Linked DNA regions of Oryctolagus cuniculus. Each later gene encodes a partner of the first gene's protein in a complex. Links are inferred from orthologs where the notes say so. Each region holds a gene or a part of one and is shown in the gene's direction. Other genes may lie near its edges. The genes, in order: TFDP2, LIN52 and E2F2.

Region 1 (3,745 bases):
CTAAAGAATTCCTTCTGGATTTGTGGCTGAAAATGTAATCACTCCTCTGGGGATCTGCATGTCACAGTCAATCAGCAACAGGCAGCATCCGGCATTCTTGGACTCCGAGGACTTCACCTCCCTACTGTGATGTGGCAGGCCAGTGTCTCGACACCGCACCCAGATCCAAAGGTGATCTCCTGTCTCCCTCAAGTCCTTTATGTGTTTACTTAAACGCGTCCTTAGGATCTCCTTCCCTGTCCACCATGCTTAAGGCTGAAGCCATCCCTCCCACACACACTCTGCTTACTGTTTTTCCACAGCTCAGATCAGCAGGTAGCATCGTTTTTATTTTGCTTATTTCTTTAGCTGTCGTCTTTCCCACCGCACTAGAATGCGGGCTCCACGAACGCAGTTTTTGTCTCTTTTTGTTCACAGAGGTATCTCCAGCACCTGGAACAGTGTTCCGCACGTGGGCGATTTATAAAATTTGAGCAGAGCGAAATGAGAAAGGCCTATCGTTGCAACACTGTGCCCTCACACCTCACTCCATCAGCAGGGCAGCTCCCATCTCTCTCTCCTCTCTCAACCTCCACAGCTCGGTCCACGCGGAATTTTCCAAATCAGCAGAAAACGAACAGACACAATCTTGTAACGCTAACCTACCGACCCTACAGGAACAGGTGTCTGGGGAAGCGGGCAGCCCCGGGGCAAGGCGGCCTGGCTTTGTGTGGATCCTAACTCGCCTGGCTAGGGAAGAACCTCCAACTCCCCAGGAGTCTCTCACTCATCGAATACTTTCAAGGCGCTCCACGGCTGGCCCCAAGCACTGCCTCACCGCTTACTCCCGCGACTCCTCAAATGCGAAGGATCCAGATGCACCTGCCCCACTTCTCCCGCCTCTCAAACAGCTGCGATCTTCCTGCTTCGTGGGCGGACCTCGTGGGGGAGTTAGGGGCGAGAGGGAAGGGCGTGTTTCTAAACTTTAGGCTTCAGGCCTACAGCTTGTCCAGCAATCGGAGCTGGAACCAAGAGCCCGGGCCACCGCCACCTACCCTTTGGGCAGCCCGGGAGAAACTTCAGGGGTCGGAGCGCGGCGCTTAAAGGCTCCGCCTCTTCTTCTCGTGCCCCCTCCCATCATTGGGCAGCCTGGGGGCGGGGTTTGTTTACTCTTTGCACGCACCGCCGGGACCGGCCAATCCGTGGGGAGCGGCGCCCTACGTCACGCCTCTCACCGGCCAATGGCCGTGCATCGTGCTGCTCCGCCGCCAAAGCTCGCGCGGGGGAAGCGGGGAGGCCGCCGAGCCGAGTGCGGGCTGACGAAGTCGGCAGCGCTTTCGGCTGCTGTGCGGCCGCTGTCCGGCACGCGGGGCGCGCCCTGACCGAGCCCTGAGGGCGCGCGCGGGCGCGAGGTCGGCGTGCCGGGGCCTCGAACTCCTGGGGGCCTCGACCGGGGCAAGGCCGCGGCTGCCTGGGTGGGAGTCCGCCGGGACCCGGGCGCCAGAGGATCGGCGGCGCCCGAAGACGCGCCCCCGGCTCGGCCCTGCAGCCTCGCGCGGCCGCCGGGTCCTCTGCAGCCGAGCGGCGGTAAGGTCCGGGGCGAGGGCGCGGGCCCGCGTGCCGAGGGCCTCTGGACCCGGCCCGGCGCGCTGCGTACGCCGGGGGACCCCCGGGAATCCCACGGGCTCCTCAGGCCTGGCGGAGTAACCCTTGAGTGTCCGGGCGAGACTGGGCAGGCAGGGAGGTCACCCTTCCTCGCGCAGCCTGCAAACTGGGGGAGGTGAGGTCCCTGAGTCACGCCTCGGCGAGGCGGGCAGAGGGTGTCTTCCCCCTTCCCGTCCTGGCCGTAGGGAGCGATGGCTTCGGGTTCTGGCTGCTGACTTTGCCCCCTGCTTCGCGACCCCCCGTCTGCCTCCGCCAGGGTTTCGTTGTTGTTTTTAAGAGTTGGGAGGCTTTGTGTGTACCTGTGCCCCGTAAGGGAACTTTGGCATTGCTCTGTGGGCCCAGACGGCTGGAGAAATCCCGGAGAGCCGAGGTGCCCGTCCGCCGGGCAGCGGCAGGGTTTGGGTGGGACCGCGCCGAGACGCCGCGCGCTCGCGTTGTGAGGTCTCCGTCTGCTCGAGCTGGGGGACCTCGGCGTGGGCGCCGCCGCCGAGGGAAGTCTGGGGCCGCCTGGGTCAGGGACGCCCGGGGCGCGAGCTCGCCGCCCGGCAGCGCAGGGCACGAGGTGGGCACCCTCGCTTCTGACTGCCGCGAGCGCGGGTTCGCGAGAGGATCCTTTTCTCTGCCCCTTGCCCACTCACCGCCGAAGCTCCGCCGAAGCCCGGAACGCTCTCCTCTTCCGTTTCCCTCGCAGACGGCTCAGACGCCCTCTGCCACCTGCTTGCTTGCTTCAGTGGGTGCGTGGCTCCTTCTCCCCCATCTCCCCTCTCCCCCCATCTTCCCTCTTCCGCCTTCTCCCCTCTCCCCCAGATCTTAGTTTCATGACTTTTCCTTTGATTTCTATTACCTAATTTTTTCTGGGTCACTTGTTTTTCTTTTCTCTTAATGGTTTCATCTTAGTCATTTTGCCTAATAAATATAATTGGAATTATTCACCTGTTCTCTAAAAGGACATAATCATGACCCTACCTGTCTCTGTTCAGAATCAGAGTAGTTGAATCTGTGTTGCATCTTGCTGTTCCATGTCGTTGGCTGGCCTATGGTTTAGCGAAAGCTTTATCGCTATCACATTACTATAATTAATCTTTAATGACAGTGTCCACTCTCAAATAGCACCAGGAGAAAAATCAAATACCCAGACCCCAGATTCTATCGCACTTGGGCACTGGCACTGGCTGTGTTTGTTGTGTGGTAGAACATCTTGTGCCTGGAACTGGTCTGGTCTAATGGCAGCCATCATGGCTGGGAGCACTGCCCTGGCATACAGTTGCAGCAGTGTGGTACTTGTACAGAAAGGCCCAAGACTTACTCAACTCTTATTTTCGAGTTCTCTTTGTTTCTAGTTGTTTGTTTAAGAAGGAAAGCTGAATTTCGCTAGTGTGTGGCATGACCATTTTGTGATCATGCAGTTGTACCCCCCCACCACCACAGACCCCTTCTTTGGAATGTGTAGCACAGTGAAGTATTCGCACTGTGGCCAAAATGCTTATCTGGGCTCTGTGCTTTTAGTGTGACTTGAAATGGAGTTTATACCCCCTGTAAGCCATCATCACTTAAATGCTTATTGTAACATGTATCATAGTAAATCTCAGAGGAATCTAGAAAACATAAGTTGAGAGTTCTTTGAGATCAGAATTTTAAGTTGTAATAGATTTTAAAGATTATTAAATTGTTAATATATCAATTCATACTTGAGTCTTTTCCATTTTAATCTGGGATCCGTAACACTCTAGTATATTTAGAAGTAGATTTGTGAACCCTTAGAAACTTTTTTTTTTTAAAGATTTATTTATTTATTTGAAAGACAGAGAGAGAGGTCTTCCATTCACTGGTTCACTCCCCAATTGGCCGCAACAGCCGGAGCTGCATTGATCCAAAGCCAGGAACCGGGAGTTTCTTCTGGGTCTCCTGTGTAGGTGCAGGGGCCCAAGGATTTGGGTCATCTTCTACTGCTTTCCCAGGCCGTAGTGGAGAGCTGGATCAGAAGTGGAGCAGCCAGGACTCGAACTGGCGTCCATATGGGATGCTGGCACTGCAGGCAGCAGTTTTACCCGCTACGCCACAGCACTGCCCCCCCCCCAGAAATTTTCTGCAAAATTACGTA
Region 2 (3,745 bases), on another chromosome or scaffold:
CCTCGAGAACCCCCTCCCTCCCTTACCTCGGTTCACGGGTGGGGAAAGGGAGCCATTTGGACGCTCCTGGCGGGCGAAAGAGCTCTAAGAGAGGGGAGTTTATGCGAGAAAACGAAGTGGCTGGTGCAGAAGTGACAGGGAAAGGCAGTGGGCGGGCCGAGAGGTGACAGCAAGAGTGGCAGCAGGGACCGGGTAGGGCTGAGGACGGTGGGCGAGAGCCAACAAGCAGGAAGCCCCGGAGTAAACGGGTGAAAGTCCCGGGAGGCATCCAGACTAGGGGAGGTACGGGGTGGGGGTGGGGGAAGGAGGAAACTAGGCCGCTGGGCTGGGAGGGGAACACCAGGGTCGGCCAAGAAGGGGGCTGGGCCAAGAAGTCGGTCCCGCCCGAGGATGGCTCAGAGTGGACGGAAAGCATCCAAGTCCCAGCTTCGTGGTCCCTCGGTGCCACCCTCACTCGCCTGCAGGATCCGGGCCCGCACTGCCGCCGCCACCACCACCGCCGCCATGGTTCTCGGCCGCCTCTTCTACGCTCCCCCAGCCTCCACCGCCCGCGCTAGCCAGAAACACTACAGCTGCCAGGCCTCCCCCTCCATCCTGCCCGACCTTCTCATTCGTGGAGAGGAGCATTTCCTCTGGCCAATCACTCTCTAAAACACCTGACTCCACCCCCGCAGGCCTGCTCCTGCGGATATGTGATTGGTCAAAAGCGAAAGCGCTCTCGCCCCCTCCCACCTCAGAGAATTCTATTGGCGGAGGTAGGGAAGACGCCCCTACCTGGGTACTCTGTATTGGACACGGAGGGGAGACGCCCCCTAACCTGGAGTTCTGATTGGCTACAGCCACGACCAGGGTTCCACCCCCTACCGAGGAAAGTAAATAAGACCCTCCAAGAATTTTGCAGTCGCTCCGCCTCCGCAACAGCACGAGGGGCAGGGCTGTCGCTAGGGGCGGGGCTAGGCAAGGACTGTCCTATGGGGAGGAGAAACGAGACTGGGCTGCGAGTTGGCGATAGGGTTTCGCTTTGGGGGCGTGGCTTAGGGGTCCTCGCTTTCCCGCCGACGGTTGGCCACGTCACGTGACATGGGTTGGAAGATGGCGTCTCCCACAGACGGTAAGAGCCGGCTTAGAGACCCTTGGCCTGCAACCTCCTCCTTTGCTCCCATTGAGAACTTCCACTCTCCATCTGCCCCTCGAACGTACACTTCTTTCTCGGGAACCTCTCCTTTCCCTTTTCCTTGGTTTCACCTCGCCGGTTCTTCACATCCGCTGAGAGGCGCCGGGTTTCCCCGCTGTGTACCCTGCAGGTGGAGGAGAGCACCCACGTAGGGCAGAAGGACAGTGGTCTCATTGGCCCTCCTTTTTCCCTATTTGGCTGAAGTTGAGGGACGAGGAGGAGATACTGCTGAGAGAAAGGAGGTGCCTTGTTATATATAGTTTTCTGCTCCTCCGGGTGCACCGCTGATGTATCATCTCTGCTCGCACTGAGCACTGATCGAACTATCCTCAAGTCCTAGCTGGGTTGGTGGCCGACCCCGTCCGGGGACTGAATTGCAAGAGAAGCGGGGACCTTTTCGTCCCCTCGCCGCGAGGGTCCCCAGGAAATGACAGTTGAGCTCTGCTTTAGAGTAGTTTCGCGTACATCTCAGTCTCTGCAGGGGCCGCTGTGTGTGCGGGTTCCCCTGCCTGGATGTTGTCTAGGACGCGAGGTTTTGGTGTATCAGCGCGCTGTTGTGCTCCGATCTGCCCTAGAGAGCTAGGGTCTTGCGGGCTGCCCTTCCATCACCCCATCCCCAGGTCAGGTTCATTGATGTGCAATTTCCCCTCCTCGACCACAGAGTGTTTTTGGAAGAAATCTTGGGGAGGGCGTTTTTTTTTTTTTGCAGAGGTTTCATATTCTATATTGACACCATTGAAGAAAAATGAAACAATAACGAGACATAAGATTGGCAAAAATCAAAAAGACTAATGAGACCGGTTTTGTTACAGGTTGTCAGACGACCACATGAAAGTGTAAAGCAGTACTTCCTTTTTACCGAGTGACATGGAGATTGCTATCTAGATTACAGGGTTGTCTGAGTTTGAATTTCAATACCCTAATTATGGATTCTTAAATTTCTTCCCTGGAAGACAATTTGGCCTCAGGCCGATTAGCAATCTAAAGGAGGGGGTAGGAAAAAGCACCTAAGATCTCTTCCGCTGTCTCCTGGCTACCCTGGTCAACACCAGAGCAAGGTGCTGAATGGCTCACTGCAGAGATGATGGGACCTTGCGGGAGTTGTGTGGGGGTGGTCTACAAAATGGCTGCATCTTGGAACAGCTTGGTCAGAGCATGCCATTAGGGGAGGATTGGAAGACTGGATTATTGCGTCAGTTGATGGCCCCAGTGCCAGGAGAGGAGAGAGGTATACCAGCCTTCCCATGTGTGCCTCATTTTTACTCCAAATCTGACACCGATCATCCTGTCAAAATATTATGGGCTTACTCAACATATATGAAAGGCGTTAATACCAGGTGCTTCCGAAAATGTAAAAACGAATCAAACATGTAAACTTTTTTTCTCCCAGTTCCAGGTTTCTTTTAGATGTTGTTCCCCAAAGAGGCTTTTCCAGAACACAGTGTTGGAGTTGCCCCTCTCCCCTGTTTAAATATCTCAGTATCTTCACTGATGGCATTGTTATTCTGTTAGTTTTTCCTCTTTCACAGTAGATTATAAATTCCAAGTCTGTCTTGTTCACAGCTGAATCCTGGGATTCAGCAGCACAGTGCCTGATTTAGCATCTTAAGGCTCAATTAACATTTATTGAATCAAAGAATATATAGAGAGAGGAAATAATGTTTTGCTTGACCTTAAGTTTAACTGAGTTGTAACTTTTTGAGCATAGGTACATACTGTGTAAGAAATTGTGAATAATAGGGCCGGCGCCACGGCTCACTAGGCTAATCCTCCGCCTTGCAGCGCCGGCACACCGGGTTCTAGTCCCAGTAGGGGCCCCGGATTCTGTCCCGGTTGCCCCTCTTCCAGGCTAGCTCTCTGCTGTGGCCCGGGAGTGCAGTGGAGGATGGCCCAAGTGCTTGGGCCTTGCACCCCATGGGAGACCAGGATAAGTACCTGGCTCCTGCCTTTGGATCAGTGCGGTGCGCAGGCCGTGGCGGCCATTGGAGGGTGATCCAACGGCAAAGGAAGACCTTACTCTGTCTCTCTCTCTCTCACTGTCCACTCTGCCTGTTAAAAAAATAAATTAATTAATTAATTAAAAAAAAAAGAAATTGTGAATATTTAGAATCAGACAAGATTCTGCTAAATCCTCTGGCCAGAAAAAGAAGCGGGGAGGAGTTATTTTAAAAGTCAGCCAAAGGAGTCTGGTGCCGTGGCTCAATAGGCTAATCCTCTGCCTGCGGCGCCAGCACACCGGGTTCTAGTCCCGGTCGGGGTGCCAGATTCTGTCCCAGTTGCCCCTCTTCCAGGCCAGCTCTCTGCTGTGGCCCGGGAGTGCAGTGGAGGATGGCTCAAGTACTTGGGCCCTGCACCCCACGGGAGACCAGGAGAAGCACCTGGCTCCTGCCTTCAGATCAGTGCAGTGCGCCGGCCGCAGCGGCCATTGGAGGGTGAACCAACGGCAAAGAAAAATCTTTGTCTCTCTCACTGTCCACTCTGCCTGTCAGAAAAAAAAGAGTCAGCCAAAGGAATGGGGAGTTTTTATTTCATGGGTGCAGAGCTTTAACTTGAGAAGGGGAAAGGGCTCTG
Region 3 (3,645 bases), on another chromosome or scaffold:
GCCTGCGCCCCGTCCTCAGCGCCCAAGTCCCCCGGGGAGAAGACGCGATACGACACGTCGCTGGGGCTGCTCACCAAGAAGTTCATTTACCTGCTGAGTGAGTCGGCCGATGGGGTCCTGGACCTGAACTGGGCGGCGGAGGTGCTGGCCGTGCAGAAGCGGCGCATCTACGACATCACCAACGTGCTCGAGGGCATCCAGCTCATCCGCAAGAAGGCCAAGAACCACGTCCAGTGGGTGTGAGTGCCCGCGCGGGCCATGGGGCCGGTGGTGGGCGGGGCTGGGGTGCCAGTGCCCGCCAGGCTGTGGGGGCTCAGCGGTGGGCGGGGCCGGGGCGGAGAGAGCCCCTGGCTGTGAGGTCAGGGCCAGGGCCGGGGTGTGAGTGCCTGGGATGTGGGGGCCGGGGTGTGGGTGCCGGGGTGTGAGGGTCAGGGCCAGGGCCGGGGTGTGGGTGCCGGGGTGTGAGGGTCAGGGCCAGGGCCAGGGCCGGGGTGTGGGTGCCGGGGTATGAGGGTCAGGGCCAGGGCCGGAGTGTGGGTGCCGGGGTATGAGGGTCAGGGCCAGGGCCGGGGTGTGAGTGCCTGGGATGTGGGGGCCAGGGTGTGAGGTCAAGGCTAGGGCCAGGGTGTGAGTGCCGGGGTGTGAGGGTCAGGGCCAGGGCCGGGGTGTGGGTGCCGGGGTGTGAGGGTCAGGGCCAGGGCCAGGGCCGGGGTGTGAGTGCCTGGGATGTGGGGGCCGGGGTGTGAGGTCAGGGCCAGGGCCAGGGTGTGAGTGCCTGGGATGTGGGTGCCGGGGTGTGAGGGTCAGGGCCAGGGCTGGGGGCAGAGCCACTGCTGGAGAGCTGGGTGGAAGGGCAGGTGCACTCCCTGGAGTAACAGGAGGTGGGAAGCAGGATGGAGATGATCTCCAGGAAAAGCAAAGGCCTAAAAGGACCCCAGCTCCTTCCTCTTGGGTGAGGACTCCCCAGGTCCCCATCTCCTAGCTCAGGGAAGTCCCGGGAAGCTGAGAAGGCCTAACCCAGCCTCCATCTCTGAGACGTGAGGACCAGGGCCTCCTCTTCCCACTCCTGCAGGGTCTGAAAGAGCAGACCTACAGTCCCTGGCGTGGATCCTGAGAGAACCCAGGCAAGGGACTCAGGACTGGGGTCACTGTGGTCCCCTGCCCTTTGGGGGAGGCTGGGCATTAGGGATGGACCGAGTGGAGAGCCCCCCAGAAGCGGGGTTCGGGCCTCGACTTCCAGTTCCAATCCCTGAGAGTGATGGTGACCATGTGATGTACACACCCCGGGGCCACCATCATGCACCTTGACCTGGCCTTGACCTGGAGCTTCACCCCTACCTTCTCTGCAGCCCTGGGGTTGGGGGTGGGACTCTGGGTGTGGATTGACACTGACACTGGCGGTGGGGGGCTGCTCTGTTCCCAGAGGCAGGGGAATGTTTGAAGACCCCACCCGGCCCGGGACGCAGCAGCAGCTGAGGCAGGAGCTGAAGGAGCTGACGAGCACGGAGCAGGCCTTGGACCAGCTCATCCAGGGCTGCTCTCTGAGCTTAAAGGACCTGACCGAGGACAAGGCCAACCAGAGATATCCTGTGCTGTGGAGGGGCCGGCGCAGGGCCTGCGTGTGCTTCTGTCCCACCGCCTCCCAGGGCTCTGGCCATCTGTCTCTTTCTCCGTGGTTTTTCCTCTCAAGCCTGTTAGAGTTACCTTTTCATGATTCAAAATGGGACAAATACATTTTTTAAAGATTTATTAAATTTTTAAAAGACAGAGTTACAGAGAGAGAGAGAGGGAGAGAGGGAGAGAGAGAGAGAGAGAGAGAGAGAGGTCTTCCATCCCCTGGTTCACTCCCCAAATGACCACAATGGCCGGAGCTTCTTCTGGGTCTCCCATGTGGGTGCAGGAGCCCAAGGACATGAGCCATCTTCTGCTGCTTTCCCAGGTGCATTAGCAGGGAGCTGGATTGGAAGTGGAGCAGCTGGGACTTGAACCAGTACCTGTTATGGATGCTGGCACTGCAGGCAGCAGCTTTACCTGCTACACCACAGTGGTGGCCCTGAGACAAGCACACTTCTCTTTTTCTTTCTTTTTTTTTAAGGTTATTTTTATTTATTTGAAAAGCACAGTTACAGAGAGGCAGAAGTAGAGAGAGACAGAGAGAGAGAGGTTGGTCTTCCATCTACTGGTTCACTCCTCAGATGGCTGCAACAGGTGGAGCTGCACCGATCTGAAGCCAGGAGCTTCTTCCGGGTCTCCCATGCAAGTGAAGAATTCCAAGGACCTGGGCCGTCTTCTACTGCTTTCCCAGGCCATAGCAGAGAGCCGGATCAGAAGTAGAGCAGCTGGGACTCGAACTGGTGCCCATATGGGATGCTGGCACTGCAGGCAGCAGCTTTACTTGCTACCCCACAGCACCAGCCCCAAGTATATTTCTTTAAATCTGCAAAATATAGAACAAAAAAGAAGCCGTGGGCTGCCAGCCTAACACATCATCGCTTCCTTACGAGGCTCGGGGACCCTGCTGCACATTGCATTTTTTGTTCTGTTCTTCTCCAATTAATACTGTAGACGTTTGTATTTGCCATTACATATCCACAGGAAAATGCCAGTATGCAATCACGACGTACCCGTGAGAAAGCAACTTCACATGACTCAATCTCTTTTTCACCTGTCTATAAACTGACTTCAGATTGTCTTATAGAATGAGTATGTGGAACAAGTCTAGGTTTCTGCTTTCATAGAGGTGAATATCTTTGTGTGTTGGACATTGCCCCCTTATTGTCACTTATTTCCCTAAATCAGATTCCTGGGATGCAAGCAATGAGGTCAGAGAGCATGGTTTGTGCATTTTCCCAAATGGTTTCACATCTAATTGGCTTTTGGATCTAGCCTGGTATTTTTGGAAGGATGTTAGGCATTGTGAGAAATATAAAGAAGCAAATCTTCCTGTCTTCTCAGAGCTAAGATCTTTTTGAGAGGAAGCCTTTACATAAAAAATTGATATAAGGCAGCATATTTTAAAGATTTTTAATTAATTTATTTAAGAGGTAGAATTACAGACAGAGGGAGAGACAGAGAGAAAGATTTTCCATCTGCTGGTTTACTCCCCAAATGGCCACCATGGCCGGAGCTGGGATGATCCAAAGCCAGGAGCTACTTCCGGGTCTCCCACGCAGGTGCAGAGGCCCAAGCACTTGGGCCATCTTCCAGTGCTTTCCTAGACACATTAGCAGAGAGCCGGATGGGAAGTGGAGCAGCCGAGACTCAATCCGGTGCCCATACGTGTTGCTGGCACCGCAGGCGGAGGCTTAGCCCACTACGCCACAGCACTGGACCCATGGGCAGCATTTGAAAATGATGCACACCTCCTTGGGCTGTCTAAAAGTATCCAAAGGAGCTTATGACATTCAAAGAAGAGGTTACAGTTCTGAGTTATTTCTAAGCAGTGTGAGAAAGCGGGAGTCAGAGGCTTGGGCCCCGCCTGGCATCTGGGGTCTGCACTTTGCCCAGCGCTCACTTTTCTTGACTCTGCCCCTACGCTGGCCTACGTGACGTACCAGGACATCCGTGCTGTCGGCAACTTCAAGGAGCAGACGGTGATTGCCGTGAAGGCGCCGCCGCAGACGAGACTGGAAGTGCCTGACAAGA

The links.
Region 2: TFDP2 (region 1) and LIN52 share a complex: the UniProt entries of both Homo sapiens proteins name them as parts of the DREAM complex. The link is inferred for Oryctolagus cuniculus from reciprocal best matches to the Homo sapiens genes TFDP2 and LIN52.
Region 3: TFDP2 (region 1) and E2F2 share a complex: the UniProt entries of both Homo sapiens proteins name them as parts of the DRTF1/E2F transcription factor complex. The link is inferred for Oryctolagus cuniculus from reciprocal best matches to the Homo sapiens genes TFDP2 and E2F2.

What each region holds. Positions count from the first base shown.
Region 1 is NC_091435.1:139,716,260-139,720,004, forward strand, and holds the start of TFDP2 (transcription factor Dp-2), read left to right. Parts: upstream 1-1,256; 5' UTR 1,257-1,566; intron 1,567-3,745. UniProt on the Homo sapiens protein: Can stimulate E2F-dependent transcription.
Region 2 is NC_091451.1:20,253,790-20,257,534, forward strand, and holds the start of LIN52 (protein lin-52 homolog), read left to right. Parts: upstream 1-872; 5' UTR 873-1,080; coding exon 1,081-1,111; intron 1,112-3,745. Other genes in the region: ALDH6A1 (methylmalonate-semialdehyde/malonate-semialdehyde dehydrogenase [acylating], mitochondrial), read right to left, coding at 459-506.
Region 3 is NC_091438.1:147,416,256-147,419,900, forward strand, and holds part of E2F2 (transcription factor E2F2), read left to right. Parts: intron 1-19; coding exon 20-239; intron 240-1,423; coding exon 1,424-1,582; intron 1,583-3,535; coding exon 3,536-3,645. UniProt on the Homo sapiens protein: Transcription activator that binds DNA cooperatively with DP proteins through the E2 recognition site, 5'-TTTC[CG]CGC-3' found in the promoter region of a number of genes whose products are involved in cell cycle regulation or in DNA replication.